3 linked regions of the Caenorhabditis elegans genome follow. The protein of the gene in region 1 interacts with the protein of each later gene in a biochemical or structural test. Each region holds a gene or a part of one and is shown on either strand. Other genes may lie near its edges. The genes, in order: unc-60, unc-78 and aipl-1.

Region 1 (7,610 bases):
TTTTTTCATAATTTTGTAGCTAATCATCAGTTTTCCAAATATTTCGGCTGCTTATTGGGAGACCATTTAAAGGGGAAGTAGAGTTTGTGGCTATTTTAATTAAATCGACTAAAACTGGTCCATTATCCAAAAATGTTTATGGCCGGTCAAAATTTCGAAAAAAAGAGCCAAATTTTGCTAAAATCTGAATTTTCTCAAACTTTTCTTTGTCACAGCCGCTGGATTTTAGTTTTTCGGAAATTATCACCCTTTGATCCTTAATTTGGTAATTTATCTCGCGGAAATTCGTTGATTGAGACAACTTTTAGGCCGATAGGCATACAATTTTTATCATTTTTGGATGCCCATCGGCTCAAAAAGTGTCTCAATCAACGAATTTCCGCGAGATAAATTACCAAAATAAGGATTAAAGGGTGATAATCTCAGAAAAACTAAAATCCAGCGGCTGTGACAAAGAAAAGTGTGCGAAATTTCAGATTTTAGCAATAGTTGGCCATTTTTTCGAATTTTGGCCGGCCATGAAAAATTTTTGGAAATTTTTTGTGAAGTCTCATTATGAAATTCGGTGATTTTGGACCAGTTTTTGTCTATTTAAGCAAAATACTACAAACTCTACTCCCCTTTTAAATTAAATCGTCCGAGTTTTCTTGGACTATTTAATATTTTTGCATACGAAAAACACTGTCTTGAAATACACTGTCAAATTATTATACTGAGCGACTAGAAAAGATTCTAAAAATAATTCTCAAGATGACTAATTCATTTTTTTATTTCTGAAATGAGCGTGTCTTATTGTTTCGCAATTGCTAATGACTTTGACTCCTCCCACGTCGTTGGCGTTTTTGTTCGTTCCTCGATCAATTGGTGGCTCCCTCACAGTCAATTTGCCCTTTCTCTACGCCCACGCAAACCATCTGAACACTTCTATGCTAATAATGCTCATTCCGACTTGAATTCAAGGAAAATGATATGTTTTTTTTCTCACTGAACTTTCACCCGATGTTGAAATAACCCGAAAGTAGAGAATATGTCGGGGGGGGGGGGGGGGGTAGTAGATGGGCGGTGTAGTTGTCTGCGCGTACGCTAAGTGGAGATTATACGCTTCGACTGTCTCGTAGCACCGAGTTCCTTTCGCTAATTACTCTCATCAACTATTGTTTCCACTGTGTGTGTGTCCTCCTCCGGGTATGTCCTTTTCGTTTGCCCCTTGTTCAAAGCCGAAATCGATGTTGTTTTCAATATTTTTAACGTCTGGAAACAATTCAAAAATTGTTCCAAACCCTCTCCGTCATTCTCGTACCGCCATGCGCTGACTCATACACCGTCGTCGTCCTCCTCGTTGTTGTGTACAACACAAAAACGGGTGGTTTTCTAATCTTTCTCCTTCCCAGTTGATACCATAGTGTATATAACGTACTCCTCGATGCTGAATGATGATTCATACGATCAATAGCAGTGCATTCCTACTTTTTTCTAATTTTGTCAGTACTTTCTAGAAACTGAAGCCCGGGAGAAAGTGCAAACGGATTCACCACTAGGTAGTCCGTATCTGTTTTTTTTTGGTATTTCGGGCAGAGCAAGTAAGGTCGGGGGACAATGGTGTGTGTGTTGCACATGGCGAATGTTTGCTCGGTTCTCGCTATTTTCTCTCTTCACTCTCTTCTCTACCAGCTCTTCAGATCGTTCACTCTCTCTCTCCGGGAGGGGACGGAAAAGATGACCATTCGGGCTGGGTGCTGCTGCTGCTGTTGCTGCCCGTTTCATTTTCTCTCCGCTCCCTCTCCTCTACTTGTCACTATCTCGCTCTATCTCTTCGTCTCTTCATTTTCCTCGTGTCCCTCGTCCTCGTCTATCTAAGCGGACGCGCTCGCACAGGCAAGCACTCTGACTGGCGGTTGTGTTGTTGGGGCTGGGGGTTAGGCCGAAGGGACGGCCCCGTCTCTTTTTTTTTGCGTCTTTCTCATCCTGCTTCTGTGCCAATCACAATGGACTTTCTTGGCTCTTGTTCTCTCTCTCTCTCTGTTTCCATCACTTTACCAATTTACCTCACACTTATGACCCTTATGACTCTTATCTGGGTTACACTTTTTCTTTGTGTTGAGCTTCTTCACTATCGTTTTTCCCTTCTCGTGATTCGATTATTGATTGATTAAAATCATTTTTTCTTGCAGGAAACTCAACTTGATTCTATTTCCCCACCACAAACCAACAACAACATCTCAAAATGGTGAGTTTGAGATTTTAATTCGCTTCAATATTTTTAAATTGAAAGAAATTTGGAATGTTATGTTTGGCGTGTTTTTTTTTCATTGAATTTCCAAAATTTCACACTAAAATGGAATGGTTTTCTCTTCTTTTTGCCTAACCTAACCTAACCTATGTGTGCCTGTTTTCTAGAGTTCCGGTGTCATGGTCGACCCAGATGTGCAGACATCTTTCCAAAAGCTCTCCGAGGGACGCAAGGAGTACCGCTACATCATTTTCAAGATCGACGTGAGTTTTTAAAAAATAAAATCTGAATCAGATCAATTTAAAAAAATTTCGTGCCACTTTTTGTTTTTTTTGTTGAAAAATTTGAAAAATCCTCAAATTAATTGTTTTAGATGAACATTATTGATTTCCCTATTAAATTGCAACATTTTCCAGGAGAACAAGGTGATCGTGGAAGCCGCGGTGACTCAGGATCAGCTCGGCATCACTGGAGACGACTATGATGACTCTTCCAAGGCCGCTTTCGACAAATTCGTCGAGGACGTGAAGTCTCGAACCGATAATCTGACCGATTGCCGCTACGCCGTTTTCGACTTCAAGTTCACGTGCAGTCGTGTTGGAGCCGGCACGAGCAAGATGGACAAGATCATCTTCCTCCAGATGTAAGCGCTTGATCCTATTGGTGAATTATTGTACCATCTAATTTTTTTTCCAGCTGCCCAGATGGTGCTTCTATCAAGAAAAAGATGGTGTACGCTTCGTCCGCCGCCGCCATCAAGACTTCTCTCGGAACCGGCAAAATCCTTCAGTTCCAGGTGAGAAATCTCGATAATTTTTACAATTAGAAAAAAAAAATCAAATTATTAAAATTTCAGGTGTCTGACGAGAGCGAGATGAGCCACAAGGAACTCCTCAACAAGTTGGGCGAGAAATACGGAGATCACTAGATACACGGGTCTCTTCCGAAGTCGTCGTCGCCGTCACATCCTCGATTATTCTCGTCTCTGTCTGTCGCATTTTCTCCATTGCTTGATGATTTCTGATCGTTTTCACGTGTGCTCTTTGAATGTGCTAGTGCGTTGTTGTGGTGCTTTTTTCTTACCAACCTCACTACTTGTTCATTTTTTTTGGTGTCCTCAAAGAATCATCCGTTGAAAACATGACTGCGGCGATGTGTTTCGATGATGTTTCTTAAGCGTCTTCTTCACATTTTCACCTCTTAACATTGCTAATTTATCCTCTATTTTTATCTGTTTTTTTCCTGATTGACGATTGTTTTTTTCCTGGGGGCAAGTGATTGTGTGTGCCCACTAATTTAATACAATGTGCCGGGTAACCTTCCGTACTATGAAGAAGTTGAGACATCCCCTCAGATTCTCAGTATCTTTATTGTTTAGTGAAATGCGTGGTAAATCCCTTCTCATTTACGATTATATTCTCTCTCTCTTGTAAAGCTTTCTATATTTATATAGTGTACTTTCCCCCACTGGAACTCTCAATCTCCATCTCCTCACCATTCTTTTTTTTTCAAATCTTCTATTGCGTATTCATTTCCCTTCTTACTTTTTTCCCACCCTGCCCGATCCCCTTGAAGAATCACCCACCAAACCGTTCATGTGCTGTGCTTTTTAAGATTATCACAATGAAATCAAGTTTGGAGTTTCTAACAATTGTTTTAACACGCGTGGAAAATTTTGAAAGGAAACAAAAATTGACATAAAAACCAGAAAAATATTACAAACACCTTTGAGTACAGGCTTCCGGAGTCAAAGTTGATCCATCCTGCAAGAACGCCTACGATCTTCTCCACAACAAGCATCAGCACAGCTACATCATCTTCAAGGTGAGTTATTCTGCGAAAAAAAAAATGCGTACTGCACAACACATTTGACGCGCAAAATATCTCGTAGCGAAAACTACAGTAATTCTTTAAATGAGTACTGTAGCTCTTGTGTCGATTTACGGGCTCAATTATTGCAATTTTCTTTATAAATGGTTTCCGTGAATCGACACTAGCGCTACAGTAGTCATTTAAAGGATTACTGCAGTTTTCGCTACGAGATATTTGATGTATTTTGCGCGTCAAATATGTTGTGCAGTACGCATTTTCAGAGTTTTCTGTTCCCGTAATAATTAAATAATTTTCTAAATTTGATTTTTTAAAAATTTAAAAAATAAATAAATCGAAAAAAAATAAATCAAAAAATAATCAGATTGACAAAAATGACACCGCCATCGTCGTCGAGAAGGTCGGAGAGAAGAATGCTCCGTACGCCGAGTTCGTTGAGGAGATGAAGAAGCTTGTTGAGGACGGAAAGGAGTGCAGGTAAGCCTAAGCCTGAGACTAGGCCTGAGCCTAAACCTGAGCATAAGCCTAAGCCTAAGAATAAGCCTAAGCCTAACACTAAGTCTTAGTCTGAGCCTAAATGTCGCGTGTATTCTACGCGAAAAGTTGTGTTTTTGCGCCAAAATACGGTGCTAGGTCTCGACACGACTAATTTTTACTAGTTAAATGAATGCAGAGAAAAGAAGGTGTGCGTCTTTAAATAGTACTGTAATTTCAAAATTATTGTTTCCATGGAATGTTTTATTATCGAAAAAAATTCACATAAATATTAAGAAACTGTGAAACATTAATGAAAATTTGGCAGCAATGGAATTTTGAAACTACATTACTCTTTAAAGGCACATATGATTTTGAATTTAACAAAAAAGTTTCGTGTCGAGACCAGTTGGTGCAAAAAAACCGCAAAATTTCTTGTCTGGATAATTATCAAACAACAAAACTCGTCGGAAATCTCGATTCAATTCATCCTTTTTTGCAGATATGCTGCCGTCGACGTCGAGGTTACTGTCCAAAGACAGGGAGCCGAGGGAACCAGCACACTCAATAAGGTCATCTTCGTTCAATAGTGAGTTTCAACATTGAAATATTACACATACACGTGGTGCCAGGCTGTCCCATTGCGGTTTGATCTAGAAAAAATGCGCGATTTTTTTCCCAAAGAAAATTTGACGTCAGCACGTTCTTAACCATGAGAAATCAGTTGAGAACTCTGCGTCTCTACTCCGGCTTTTTTTGTAGATCTACGTAGATCAAGCCGGAATGCTCGAAATTGTCCGCATTTTTGCGTTAAAAAAACGGTAACACTATAATTTCGCAGCAACGAATGTTTTAAATTACTGTACTCTTTAAAGGCGCATACCTGTTTGAATTTAACAAAAATTTGTCGTGTCGAGACCAGATAGCGTAAAATTTCGCGTCTGGAAAATCTAGAAAATCGTCCAAACAAAAAACCAAGAAAGTTGATAAAAATGAACGAATTTACTGAAATTCTCGTTGGAAAAGTCGGCCATCAACTAGGAAGCCTCGGCCACCAAAAAGTCGGCCATAAACTAGAAAAATTCGGCCACCAAAAAACCGGCCATCAACTAGGAAACCTCGGCCATCAACTAGAAAACTCGGCCATCAACTAGAAAACCTGGGCCATCAAAAAGTCGGCCATCAACAAGGAAAAGTCGGTCATAAACTAGAGAAACTCGGCCATCAACTAGGAAAACTCGGCCATCAACTAGAAATACTCGACCAGCAACTAGAAAAACTCGGCTATCAACTAGGAAAACTCGGCCACCAAAAAATCGGCCATCAACAAGAAAAAGTGGGCCATCAACTAGAAATCCTCGGCCACCAAAAAGTCGCCCATCAACTAGGAAAACACGGCCATCAACTAGAAAACTCGACCATCAACTAGAAAACCTCGGCCATCAAAAAGTCGGCCATTAACTAGAAAAAGTCGGCCACCAAAAAGTCGGCCACCAACTAAAAAACCTCGGCTATCAACTAGGAAAACTCGGCCACCAAAAAGTCGGCCATCAACTAGAAAAACTCGACCATCAAAATGTCGGCCATCAACTAGAAAACCTCGGTCATCAACTAGAAAACCTCGGCCATCAACTAGGAAACCTCGGCCATCAACTAGAAAAACTCGGCCACCAAAATGTCGGCCATTAACAAGAATCTCTTTAAAAAAATTTCCATGTATTTCCACATTCCACTTCCCAAACTCCTATTTTCAGCTGCCCAGACAACGCCCCAGTCCGCAGACGTATGCTCTACGCCTCCTCGGTCCGTGCTCTCAAGGCGTCCCTCGGACTCGAGTCCCTCTTCCAAGTACAGGCCTCCGAGATGTCGGACCTCGACGAGAAGAGCGTGAAGAGCGACCTGATGTCCAACCAAAGAATCTAAGCCTGTCCAATTGAATCCCAATCACAAATTACAATTTCTTTCTGGTACTACTAGTCTCTCGGACCATCCAAGCCCGTCAAAAATGTGCCTTTAACTTTTTTTTTCTTGTTAAATTATGACTTTTCTTGTCTGTAATTCTGATTTCCCATTTTCTCTGGAATTTTTAAAAAAATATTTTTCTTTTAATAAATAAATCCGTTCCTTCAGAACATGTCAGTTGTTGTTTTCCATGACGTCCAGACGACAAAAAACAATAAAATCAATTACCCATTTTTTCCAGAGCCCCCAAGAGCCCTCAGATGTTATAGAGCACAACACACCCCCCGAGAGCATCTCTTTACTTTTGACCTGATGCCACTCGACTTGTGCTCACCGGCTCTCGGAGCACAAGCAGGAGCACAAGTTATGCTACTTTTCTTCGAATTTTGTTTGTTTGTTTCGAAACTTGAAACGAACAGCACGAAACATTCTTTTCTTTGGATAATTTTTAAAAATCGATTTTTTTTCGAAATCCAACAGAGTTGGCCCACGGGGTTCTGGCCTTCCTCATTGAATTTTTCGCGCTCCATTGACAATCGCCAGCCAAACAACGCCTGGGGAAAGTCGTGTACTCCACACGGACAAATGCATTTAGAAGTAAAATTTCTCACGACGCGACACGCAACGCGCCGTAAATCTACCCCAGATATGGCCGAGCCAAAATGGCCTAGTTCGGCAAATTCTTCCATTTCAATTTATTAGGGAAGCCAGAAATCCGTGAGTTGGCTTAGTTTTGTTCAAAAATCAGTTTTCGTAGTGTTCTGAAAACGGAAAAAAACATCGCGTTCCATTTGTTTCCCGTTGTTTTTAGATTCGTTTTTTTTCGCAAAAAATAATGGGAATCCTTTTCAAATAAATGTTCTCCAGATGCGGTTTTTCTGCATCATTTTTTCTAAGAAGAACACATAAATCTGATGTTTTTTCTGAGTAGATTTCAAGGTTTTTTTTTGCCATTTTGTGGGTTTACTTTTTTCTCTTGTCATCCTCCAGCCAAAGCCTAAGCCTGAGCCTAAGCCTAAGCCTAATTCTAAGCCTAAGCCTAAGCTTGAGCCTATGCCTAAGCCTAAGCCTAAGCCTAAGCCTAAGTATAAGCCTATGCTTAAGCAGAAGCCCA
Region 2 (5,766 bases), on another chromosome or scaffold:
ATTGTTAAACGTATTGTATTTTAACTCAAAATCTTTCTTCACAAACTTTAAAAAAAAACTCAAGTGTAAGTTTATTCATTTTTCCAGTGTCTCATTCCAATGCTCGTTGCTACCAAGGTCGCCTCGTATGAAGCTGAAGAAGCGAACAATATCTTCGTTGTCACCCCTGAAAACTTTGCCAAACAAGCTGTCAGAATTATCGGGACTAATTGGGAAATCACAACGGGCTGTGTGCAACATGATGTTCAGGTAAAATCAATGGTGTCTTAGTGGTCTGAATATTGCAAAATTTCAGGTTGCCCTTGGAACATTGTTCTCCTTTTGGTTTTTCAAAGTACTTTTCGTCCCTGTTGTTATGCTCGGAGTTCATAAGCATCGTGTTGCCTCTTATCAAGCGAAGAACTCGAGAAAGAATAATTAGAGTTTTTATCATTTCACGTTTATCCATTTTCGTTCATTTTTATCATGATTTTTTTTTATTGAATGCTATTTTTCAGATAAAAAAGTTTTCGTGTGAACTTAATTTTTTAGAATCTTTTTTTTAAAGTTGATCACCGATTGAAGCTTTTTTTGCCAGAAAAAACATTTCAAATTTTTCCCACTGGCCATACTCCACAGAATTGCTGCACACACTTGAATCCTGCAAATATGTTGGCTCTAGAGAAAGAAAAACAGTTTTAAAAAATTAAATATACAAATTTTTATGATCTACTTGTTTTTCGAATATTCCTATTGAAACATCTCGAGAAGCCAAGTTGTCAGCAATTTTTTATAAGCTTTTAGTATGTAGTTTGGATTGTAGTACTCTTTATTCAAAAATACTTTTGGACTTAAATAATAACATGTCTTTTTTATATTAATGAATATATTGATATTGAAAATTTAGCTCTTCCGGTGACTCACGGGGAATCATATTCTAGTTTGCACAAATTCATACGAGAAAAGTAGAAAAGGGAGGAAAAAAATCGTTTTTTGTTGCGATAAGGCTATAGTTCGCTTAGTCAGCCCCTCCTTAACGTGTATGCAACATGAATCACATGTGCTTGGTGAGTTGTCTCATCGAGAAAATGTTTCATTTCTCATTCGAAAAGTTATTGCAAAACCCGACCAATTTTCTTCTTATTTTGTTTTGTTTCGACATGTTGTTCGAGAAAAAAAAACGTGTTTTTCACCCAAAGCTTCCCCCGCAGGTTTATCGATTTTTCCAGTGACGGCTAATAATAAAAAAAGCGGTCGATGAGCAACGAGGAGTTTACAGCCGATCCTCTGTTTGCGTGAACCTCCGTTTCTCGATTGTCGAGTGATGATGGGAATCGCCGAGTCGCAGATTGAAAAACACGTCTTGCTGTCGAATGCTTTCCACCCGGCGAGCCGGCGGGCCCCGTTTTCTATTGACCTCCTCTTTCTCACAACAATAACACTTATTCACTTTTTTCACGTCACAAATAACTATCGCATTGTTCTTCGTTATCAACAAAAATAGATCGACCAAATTAATAATTTTTTCTTAGAAAAAAAAAAGAAAATTTCAATTATAAAATTCCGTCGAAAAACTTATATATTTCAAGCAAAGAAAACAGTTGTTCAATCTTTGCGGCCTAGGAAACCCCATCTCGGCCGCGCGCACTGTTTGTTAGTGACCAGTGACCGCTGTCCTTCCGCACCCTCATTAGTTCCTCACCCGCTGTCGTCACTATTTCTTCTCAATGCTCTCGTTTGATTTTATTGATTTTCTTCCTTCGATCTTTTGGATTCCTGCTCAATTTTTACAATTTTTGCAGAATGTCGGAATTCTCTCAAACCGCATTGTTCCCGTCTTTGCCTCGCACTGCTAGAGGAACTGCCGTAGTTCTCGGTGAGTTTTTATATTTTTAATTGCACGGTGATTTTACTATTTAATACTAGAAATTGAAGCCGTATGGCTGCATTATATTTTAATATGGCTGCAATACTAATTTTCAGATAAATTGTTTCTTTAAAATAATTAGTCTTCACTTGCAAAAGTAGAAAATTCTGAAAATTCATATTGCGCAACATATTTAAAGTATTTCGTAGCGAAAACCACATTGATCCTTTAAAAAACTACTGTAGCGCTTGTTGTTACTGTAGTTTTTTTGTCAATTGTGCGAAAAATAGTAAAAATCATTGATGAAATATTTAAGTATTAGTGAGACGCTTTGGCAACAGAAAAAGTGCAAAGTGAAACGGTTAATAGGAAAGCTAAATCACGTTTTACAAAAATACTTCCAGGCAACACCCCCGCTGGAGACAAGATTCAATATTGTAACGGAACATCGGTTTATACTGTACCAGTTGGAAGCCTAACCGACACCGAAATCTACACTGAGCATTCTCACCAAACGACTGTCGCCAAGACAAGCCCAAGTGGTTATTATTGTGCTTCTGGTGATGTTCATGGAAATGTTCGTATCTGGGACACAACTCAAACCACCCACATTCTGAAAACTACTATTCCGGTGTTCTCTGGACCAGTGAAGGATATTTCGTGGGATAGCGAAAGTAAGAGAATTGCCGCCGTTGGAGAAGGCAGAGAACGTTTCGGTCATGTTTTCTTGTTTGACACTGGAACGTCTAATGGAAATCTTACCGGACAAGCTCGCGCTATGAACAGCGTCGACTTCAAGCCATCACGCCCATTCCGCATTATCTCTGGATCTGATGATAATACAGTGGCGATTTTTGAAGGACCACCATTCAAATTTAAAAGTGTAAGTGATTGTAATATTGGATTAGTTTTTGAAAATTCTCCACAAAGGTTCCGCTTAAAGTATTTCGAAATACTACATGTTATTCTATTAGGTTTGTGTTAAGTTGTATTTTTTAATTCCAAAAAAGATAATTTCGCGTGAGCTTTTCGCTGAAGTTTCATGCTTTTTATTTGATAAAACATTAAAAAAAACACTGAGCGAACTTTTTTTTCAGAAACTATCAACAAATAATGTAGAAAAAAACCTGAACGTATGCGTGAATTTTTAATACTACCGGAATGCAAACATCTTTTCAGTAGCTTATTGTCAGTGCAACTCTAACAGAGATTTAATTTTGATAGAAGGAAACTTGTTTTAAATGACTCGAGTGTTCCAAATACGTTTTCAGACAAAAAACCAGTTTCAAATTTATTTTCCAATTTTTCCAGACTTTCGGAGAACATACGAAATTCGTCCACTCTGTGCGCTACAACCCTGATGGCTCTCTGTTCGCCTCGACTGGAGGAGATGGAACCATTGTGTTATACAACGGAGTTGATGGAACAAAAACCGGAGTCTTTGAAGATGACTCTTTGAAAAATGTCGCTCATTCTGGATCTGTGTTTGGCCTTACCTGGAGCCCGGATGGTACAAAAATCGCATCGGCTTCTGCTGATAAGACCATTAAAATTTGGAATGTGGCTACATTAAAGGTTGAAAAGACTATTCCCGTTGGAACTAGAATTGAAGATCAACAACTTGGAATCATTTGGACCAAGCAGGCTCTTGTGTCTATCTCTGCTAATGGATTTATCAATTTTGTCAATCCAGAATTGGGAAGTATCGATCAGGTTAGATACGGACACAACAAGGCGATTACTGCACTTAGCAGCAGCGCTGATGGAAAAACTCTTTTCAGTGCTGATGCTGAAGGACATATTAGTGAGTAGTTTCAGTGCTTCGAAATTTAAAACTTGTTTTCAGACTCCTGGGATATTTCCACAGGAATATCAAACCGCGTGTTTCCGGATGTTCACGCCACAATGATCACCGGAATCAAGACAACCAGCAAGGGTGATTTGTTCACCGTCAGTTGGGATGATCATCTGAAGGTTGTTCCTGCCGGAGGTTCTGGAGTCGATTCTTCCAAAGCTGTTGCCAACAAATTATCTTCGCAACCTCTCGGTCTCGCCGTTTCCGCAGATGGAGATATTGCAGTTGCTGCTTGCTATAAGCATATTGCAATTTACTCTCATGGAAAGCTCACGGAAGTACCAATTAGCTACAATTCTTCCTGTGTGGCATTATCGAACGATAAGCAATTTGTTGCTGTTGGTGGACAAGACTCGAAGGTCCATGTGTACAAACTCTCTGGAGCAAGTGTCTCTGAAGTTAAAACAATTGTCCATCCTGCTGAAATCACATCTGTCGCATTTTCGAATAATGGAGCTTTCCTCGTGGCAACCGATCAATCACGAAAGGTTAGTTTTTGAAAAAAAATCATTTCTATTATAGATTTCAAAATTCAGGTTATCCCGTACTCTGTTGCGAACAACTTCGAGCTAGCTCACACAAACTCCTGGACTTTCCATACCGCCAAGGTTGCATGTGTTTCCTGGTCACCGGACAATGTCCGTTTGGCGACCGGTTCCTTGGATAACAGCGTTATTGTATGGAACATGAACAAACCATCTGATCATCCGATCATCATTAAAGGTAAATATTTCTCTATTAATTTAACACATTTAACAACATTTTTATAGGTGCTCATGCTATGTCGTCTGTCAATTCGGTAATTTGGCTCAACGAAACTACAATTGTGTCGGCCGGACAAGATTCGAATATCAAGTTCTGGAATGTACCTTTTTAAGTCGAGAAGCTTTTTGATTGCCCTCTAAGTATCCTTAAAATTATATTGATTTTCATAATTATCACTAATTTTCGTGTTTACTGCAAGCACTATCATCTCCTTCGAAGCCTTAAATACACGCGTAAATAAAAACTATTGGTGCAAAGCTGTGTTTCGATTGACATCCTTACAACATGTGTATTTGTTTTCTAGAAGTGATGAGAAAAAAAATCATTCTAGTGAAAATGCTTTATTTAATAGAAAATTAATAAAACATATGAAATCTAATAGGCAACGCAGGCGGTTGGGATCTTGACAGACTCAACGAAGGAGACTGGGAAATCGACCAACTCGGCAACAGTTTGCTCACGAGCTTCCTTCAAGAAACGACGAGCGTTCTTGCTGTGGCGTGGCATGCAAGTGAAACGGATCTTCTTGTTGGAAGTCTTCTCGGATTCGAGTCCACGGCGGCACTCAGAGACTGGCTCGATGGAGAAGCAGACGCGGTTGGAGAACTCCTTGATGAGGGTCTTCTTGACGAGTTCTGAAAAATATGTATTTTGTTAAAACTACACATCATTCAGCCTTAGACTAACCCTTCTCAGTTTCCTTCTCATCGTAGTTGCTCTCGTAGTCGGAGCTGCTCTCGTAGTCGGACTTCTTCTCTTCTCTGTTCCATTTGTTTCTGTAGTTCTTCTTCTCGGAGATGCGGTCGTTCTCAACTTCGCATTCCTGAAAATGAAATTTACATTCAGTTCATTGAAAAAATCTGATTACCTCATTCTTGAGAAGGTAAGACCGGTGGAATTCCTCAACATCCTCAGTTTCGTAGTTGTCAGCGGTCATGAACTCATTGTCTCTCTCACCGTCATTGTTTCCGCAAAGTCCGCAAAGTTGGTTTTGTGAAGCAACGGATGGCATGTTGGTCTTGACAGTGTATCCATCGAAACGAACCTCTCCTTGTGGAAGACGAATAACAATAAGGTTATCTCCAAGAATTTCGATACTGAAAAACGAGATTAGAAAAATTCATGTGATTTAGAGTTAAAGCTTACTTGTATTGTTCAAGTTCAGTTGGGTTAACCTTCTTTCCGTCAACCTTGACAAGGAACTTATCGTCAGACTTCTTCACAACAATTTCTTCCTCACGGCGGACAACCTTAACGAGAAGCTCCTCAGAGTTCTTGTTGATCTTCTTGGCAAGAACAG
Region 3 (5,600 bases), about 14 Mb from region 1:
AATTAATCTCGATAATAACAATTAATTATATAACATTCAGGTGGGTTATTTATGCCACTGAAATTGGAATTATGCTAGTTTTTGGAGCTGCCCTCCCATTTTTCCCCGAATCACCTGGATACTTGATTCAAAAAGGATCATTGGAAAGCGCCACGATATCAATCAGTTTTTACTATAAATGTGAGAAAGAGGAAGCTGATAAACATGTTAAAGAAATCCAAAAAGAGCAGATGAACTCCACCAAGTGAGTTATTGGAATTGTGTAAGTAATTAGTAATTAGGAATTTTAAATTTCAGAAAATTCACAATGCTAGATGTAATCCAACAGAAATCACTTCGCGATAAAGCTTTCGTCGGTGCTGTTGTGACGTTTGTAATGTCTTTCAGTGGAGTTGCAGTTATCAGTGCTTTTGCTTTTGAGATTCTAGTAAATACTGGTTTGAACGTTTTGCAAGCATCACTGGCAAATGACGCAACCACGATTGTTAGTGTGGTAAGTAACAGACCCGAGTAGGCACAAAATAGGCAGGCAGATAGGCAGAAAAAAGGTAGTTAATTTAAAGAGTTATAAGCCGTCAAAGTAGAGCAGTTGGGTATAAGTCTAATAAAGAAAATATGATAAACATGGTAAGTTAGATTTTTTTTGCTCACAATGAATTTAACCGTTCTAATAAAACTTCTGTACAAAAAAAAATAATTTTTAATATTTCATAGATCTCATCAGTACTTGCCATTGCAATAATTGATAAAAACGGACGACGCCCACTACTTCTCATTTCACTTGCAGGAATTCTGATTTGCAACTTGATAATATTCGGATTAATGTTCACTTTTGATAAGTTTGGGGTATGAAATATAATTATACCATTACCCTCTAAATCCTACCAAATCTCAGAACCAAGTTCTCGGCTTCATTCTCATTTTCTTTATCTGCATTTTTCAATTTTTCTTCGCTCTAGGCCCGGGTCCATTAAGTTATTTTATCAATGCAGAACTTGTTGGTCAAGATGCTCGAAGTGCAGCACAAAGTTGGGCAAGCGTGGTACAAATGATCTCGTGAGTCGGTGGTGACATTAAATCTTCAAACAAAAGCTTTCAGACAATTTTCAATTATCACTGCATTCCTGCCCATGAAAAATCAACTCGGAGAAGCCTGGTCCTATTTGATTCTTTTTGTTGCTCCGGTGGCAGTATCTCTGGTTTTCCTGTATTTTTCACTTCCAGAGACCAAGAATAAAAGTCCAATTGAGGTGATTAAGAACGTGACGTATAATTTTAAAGAAACAAGGGTCTTGCAAAGATCGCGCTGAAACCCATTTTTTAATTATTTTTAATTAAGTATAAAAATTTCAAATTTCCAGGTGGAAGAAGCCATTGAGGAATTACCAAAGTTGCCATTATGCCGATCAACTCGTTCGAATTCAATCAAACCTATTTAATAGTTTCATGGTATTTATAATTTCCTATTTCATCGATGATCTTCTGCCTTAACATAAAATATGAATCATGATTGTTTTTCAACAGTTTTGCGTTTGGTCTTTAAACTCGCGATCCTCGTGGTCATTCCTCATATTCAATATTTAACATTGTTACTTTTTTTTTGTTTTAACGGCTTCAAATATGATATTTTTCTCAATCTTTTGTGATGATAACATTCTTAATTGTGGAAAATTAATGTTCATATACTTTTTGCCGAAAGTTCCTTTCTACTAAAAATTCACACCAGTGGTGACTACATTCAAACACGCTCTGTTGCTACGCGAGAGAGATTCGAGACGACAGAGAAACGGGCGCTAATGAAATATTTTCAATCTTTTTTCCATTAATTTTCCCATTTTTTTTCGATTTCACGCGACAATTGTTTAATTTTATTTAAAAATCCGAATTTTAATTCATTACTAATTTCTCAGAATGTCGGAATTCTCGCAAACCGCCGTATTTCCATCATTGCCACGGGCTGCCAGAGGAGTTCCTGTTATTCTGGGTGAGTAAGACGCGGGAATAGGGGTGGCGATAGGTCGCAACAGGGCGCCCTGGCTATTTCACAGCACCTTCACGAACAATCCAATCAGAATTTTGAAGATGAAAATTAAATTAGCATGGTTTACTTACTCGAATTTTCTTTCGAGGTCGAAACTTGATACATTAAGGTCGCTAGTAGGGGTGGCGTTAGGTCGCAACAAGGCACCCTATCGCCACCCCTACGCGGGAAAACGAAATAATTGTCTCATTTTCAGGTAGCTCTCCAGCCGGCGATAAAATCCTTTATTGCAATGGGAATTCGGTCTTCACAATTCCCATCGACAGCCTCAACTCTGCCGATATCTACACAGAGCATGCTCACCAGACAACAGTCGCCAAAATATCTCCGACAGGCTTCTATTGTGCTTCTGGCGATACTCAGGGAAATATTCGGATCTGGGATACTACTCAATCAACTCACATTCTTAAACATACCATCCCAGTTTTCTCTGGACCAGTAAAAGACATCGCATGGGACAGTGAGAGCAAAAGAATTGCGGCGGTCGGCGAAGGAAAGGAACGATTCGGGCACGTATTCCTTCTTGATACTACAACATCAAACGGAAGTTTGACAGGACAAAGTCGGACCATGAACAGTGTGGATTTTAAGCCAACGCGCCCGTTTCGTATCATTTCTGGATCAGATGATAATACCGTTGCTATCTTCGAAGGCCCTCCATTCAAGTTCAAGCATGTTAGTATTATATCGCCTGAATTAGTAAACTATATTTAAATCCTTTTTTTCAGACTTTTGACCACCACAAAAAGTTCGTTCAGTCTACCAGATACAACAATGATGGCTCGCTCTTTGCCTCAACGGGAAGCGATGGAACTGTCGTTTTGTACAATGGAGTTGACGGAGAAAAAGTCGGAGTTCTCGAAGATGCCAAGGGAGTCGCCCACACAGGAAGCATATTTGCTTTAGCCTGGTCTCCGGATCAATCAAGAATTGCTACAGCTTCAGCTGACAAGTCTGTGAAAATCTGGGATGTTTCTGCAAGAAAGCTGGAGAGAACTATTGTGATGGGATCGAAGATCGAGGATCAACAGCTTGGAATTGTCTGGACAAAGAGTGCGCTGATCACGGTATCTGTCAGTGGATTCCTGAATTTCTTGAATCCAGACGATGGAAGCGTCGAAAAAATTCGTCAGGGACATAATAAAGCGATTACAGCTCTTTCGAAGAGCTCTGATGGGAAATTCTTGTTCAGTGCCGATGCGGAAGGCCATATTAGTGAGTGAAGTTGGGATTACTTGACCGAGGTTTCACAATATGCTAAAATTAACGTGCCAATTTTAGCTGAAATAGTCAATTTTCCCTACCTTTCCGTGCTATAGCGGTCTGAATTAGATTTTATCGAAATATCCTTTCTTGCATAAACTACCAAAATATGCATGAAAATATTGTAATTAAATGAAAGCTAATTTCCGACAGCTGCGACACGAAAATGTTGGACAAATTGATGATTTTTGCTGAAATTAGCTTTTTTTTTCAATTCGAGCACATTTTGGGTCTATACGAGCAAAATACACACCTTAATGAATAACAAGTTTTTCTTTATTTCAGCTACCTGGGAAATTTCAAGCGGAACTTCTTCTCGAAAATCTCCACATACCACAATGATTACTGGTGCCCAGACGTCTTCCAATGGCGACTTATTCACTGTTGGTTGGGATGATCAATTGAAGATTACTGATGGATCCGGAGACACGAAAAGCTTCAAATTGCCGTCTCAACCATGTGGACTAGAAGTTTCTGATGACTTGGCAATTGTTGCATGTTACAAGCACGTCGTCGTTCTGTCACGGGGAACGCCAACGGAAAATCCAATTGAATTCCATTCGACTTGTGTGGCGTTTTGTGCGGAGAAAAGTCTGGTGGCCGTTGGTGGAAAAGATGCGAAGGTTCATGTGTACAAACTGAATGGAGATGGACGGCTCGAGGAGTTGAAGAAGATTGAGCACAGTGCGGAAATCACCGCTGTCTCATTTTCCGACGATGGGGAATATCTAGCGGTCACTGATTTGGCTCGAAAGGTGATTCCCTACTCTGTCTCCACGGATTTTTCCGTCACCTCTCCAAACTCGTGGACTTTCCATACTTCGAAAGTACTGACAGTCGCATGGTCCCCTGACAATCAACGTCTTGCCACTGGCTCCATCGACACCAGTGTCATTATCTGGGACATGAAGAAGCCAGGCGAACATCCGGTTATTATTAAAGGTAATATTGAAATTGTCTTGCTAGTATATGAATAACGTTTTCAGGAGCCCATCCAATGTCATCTGTGAATGTGGTCCGCTGGCTCGATGAGACTACGGTGGTGTCTGCTGGACAAGACTCGAACATCAAATTTTGGAATGTTCCACTCTAGTTTTCATGTTTATATGTTTAAAATTGCATAATTTATTTTTGATTACCTATTTTTCTGCCAAAAGATGCACGTGATTTAACAATTTTTATTTACAATTCGAATGAAATTTCAATGAAGGCTTTTGGAACAAAAAAAAAATTTAAAATAAAATAAGGGAATCTATAGAACTTACAATTAGTCATAAAAACAGTATAATTAATAGTTTTAACAACAGTATCAATCCGTGCAAACTACGTTCATATCAATTAGTATGAGAACTGTTTCCCAAATACATTGTTCTACATGTGGAGACCAATCTGATACGACCAATTGATAAGAGTTTTCCCACGGTGATAAGATAGTTTAAGTTGAGACATTATCCACCCAGAAAGTGAAAGATGACTCATTTGAAATGAGAAATGTGAGTGAATATATAAAAAATAACCTTCTCGAAATTGATGACCACTTTACCTTTTTCAAAAAATGAATCGAACGACTGTTATCACTTTTGGAATATATTCAAGAGATGATATTCCAGCTATTTTGAACGGAAATTTTCGAGATAATAACAGCAACATCGAAGATGATCGCAATAAGTTGATGAAAATCAACTTCCGAGCTCGCCACATTCCATATTTCTTCACTGGATTCCTAATTGGAATATTTTTCACTTTTCTGGCAACTTTTCATTGTAAATAGTGCAGCATTTGAATTATTGTTTCTAATTTATTACTATTCGGGTTCAATTTTATTCGCTTTCTGTTGAGTAACTTTATAGTTGAAATAAACATACGTAATCTATTTACATAGATTCTTTCAAATACCACAATTTCAAAATACAAACGGGTTCTTATCGCTTCGTGCTTTTTTATTAGATTCAATTTGTTTTCATAACGTGCATCAAATGTTATATTACGGGAACACAAAACTCTGAGACTACGTATTGCACAACATATTCGACGCTTAAAATATCTCGTAGCGAAAACTACAGTAATTGATTAAATGACTACTGTAGCATCAATTTACGGGCTCGACGAAATGAATAAAAATAATTTGTTTTCGATAGAATATCAAAATTAAGTAAAAAAAGAGAAAACCCGTAAATCAACTACAGTAGTCATTTAAAGAATTACTGTAGTTTTCGCTACGAGATATTTTGCGCGGCAAATATGTTGTGCAATACGCATTCTCAGAGTTTTGGAATTTAGCGGTAAACCCGTAAAT

What was found.
Region 2: of the proteins of unc-60 (region 1) and unc-78, one has a biochemical effect on the other in vitro, tested with the Caenorhabditis elegans proteins (one study listed by BioGRID).
Region 3: of the proteins of unc-60 (region 1) and aipl-1, one has a biochemical effect on the other in vitro, tested with the Caenorhabditis elegans proteins (one study listed by BioGRID).

Annotation. Positions count from the first base shown.
Region 1 is NC_003283.11:1,472,915-1,480,524, forward strand, and holds unc-60 (Actin-depolymerizing factor 2), read left to right. Parts: upstream 1-2,171; 5' UTR 2,172-2,224; coding exon 2,225-2,227; intron 2,228-2,397; coding exon of another isoform or gene 2,398-2,493; intron 2,494-2,646; coding exon of another isoform or gene 2,647-2,873; intron 2,874-2,926; coding exon of another isoform or gene 2,927-3,026; intron 3,027-3,086; coding exon of another isoform or gene 3,087-3,158; exon of another isoform or gene 3,159-3,870; intron 3,871-3,967; coding exon 3,968-4,054; intron 4,055-4,424; coding exon 4,425-4,537; intron 4,538-5,036; coding exon 5,037-5,123; intron 5,124-6,288; coding exon 6,289-6,457; 3' UTR 6,458-6,662; downstream 6,663-7,610. Other genes in the region: F53E2.2 (Actin-depolymerizing factor 1, isoforms a/b), read left to right, coding at 2,225-2,227, 2,398-2,493, 2,647-2,873, 2,927-3,026, 3,087-3,158. UniProt on the Caenorhabditis elegans protein: Depolymerizes growing actin filaments in muscle cells; required for the assembly of actin filaments into the functional contractile myofilament lattice of muscle.
Region 2 is NC_003284.9:3,407,631-3,413,396, reverse strand, and holds unc-78 (Actin-interacting protein 1), read left to right. Parts: upstream 1-1,781; 5' UTR 1,782-1,782; coding exon 1,783-1,855; intron 1,856-2,250; coding exon 2,251-2,729; intron 2,730-3,157; coding exon 3,158-3,650; intron 3,651-3,692; coding exon 3,693-4,189; exon of another isoform or gene 4,190-4,237; coding exon 4,238-4,424; intron 4,425-4,471; coding exon 4,472-4,578; 3' UTR 4,579-4,723; downstream 4,724-5,766. Other genes in the region: putative oxidoreductase dhs-27, read left to right, coding at 88-249, 296-421; vit-5 (Vitellogenin-5), read right to left, coding at 4,842-5,101, 5,154-5,289, 5,335-5,563, 5,613-5,766. UniProt on the Caenorhabditis elegans protein: Induces disassembly of actin filaments in conjunction with ADF/cofilin family proteins. Regulator of actin organization in myofibrils.
Region 3 is NC_003283.11:15,133,112-15,138,711, reverse strand, and holds aipl-1 (Anaphase-promoting complex subunit 4-like WD40 domain-containing protein), read left to right. Parts: upstream 1-1,910; 5' UTR 1,911-1,911; coding exon 1,912-1,984; intron 1,985-2,237; coding exon 2,238-2,716; intron 2,717-2,769; coding exon 2,770-3,256; intron 3,257-3,589; coding exon 3,590-4,246; intron 4,247-4,290; coding exon 4,291-4,397; 3' UTR 4,398-4,514; downstream 4,515-5,600. Other genes in the region: K08F9.1 (Major facilitator superfamily (MFS) profile domain-containing protein), read left to right, coding at 41-244, 298-493, 715-846, 896-1,056, 1,100-1,250, 1,362-1,439.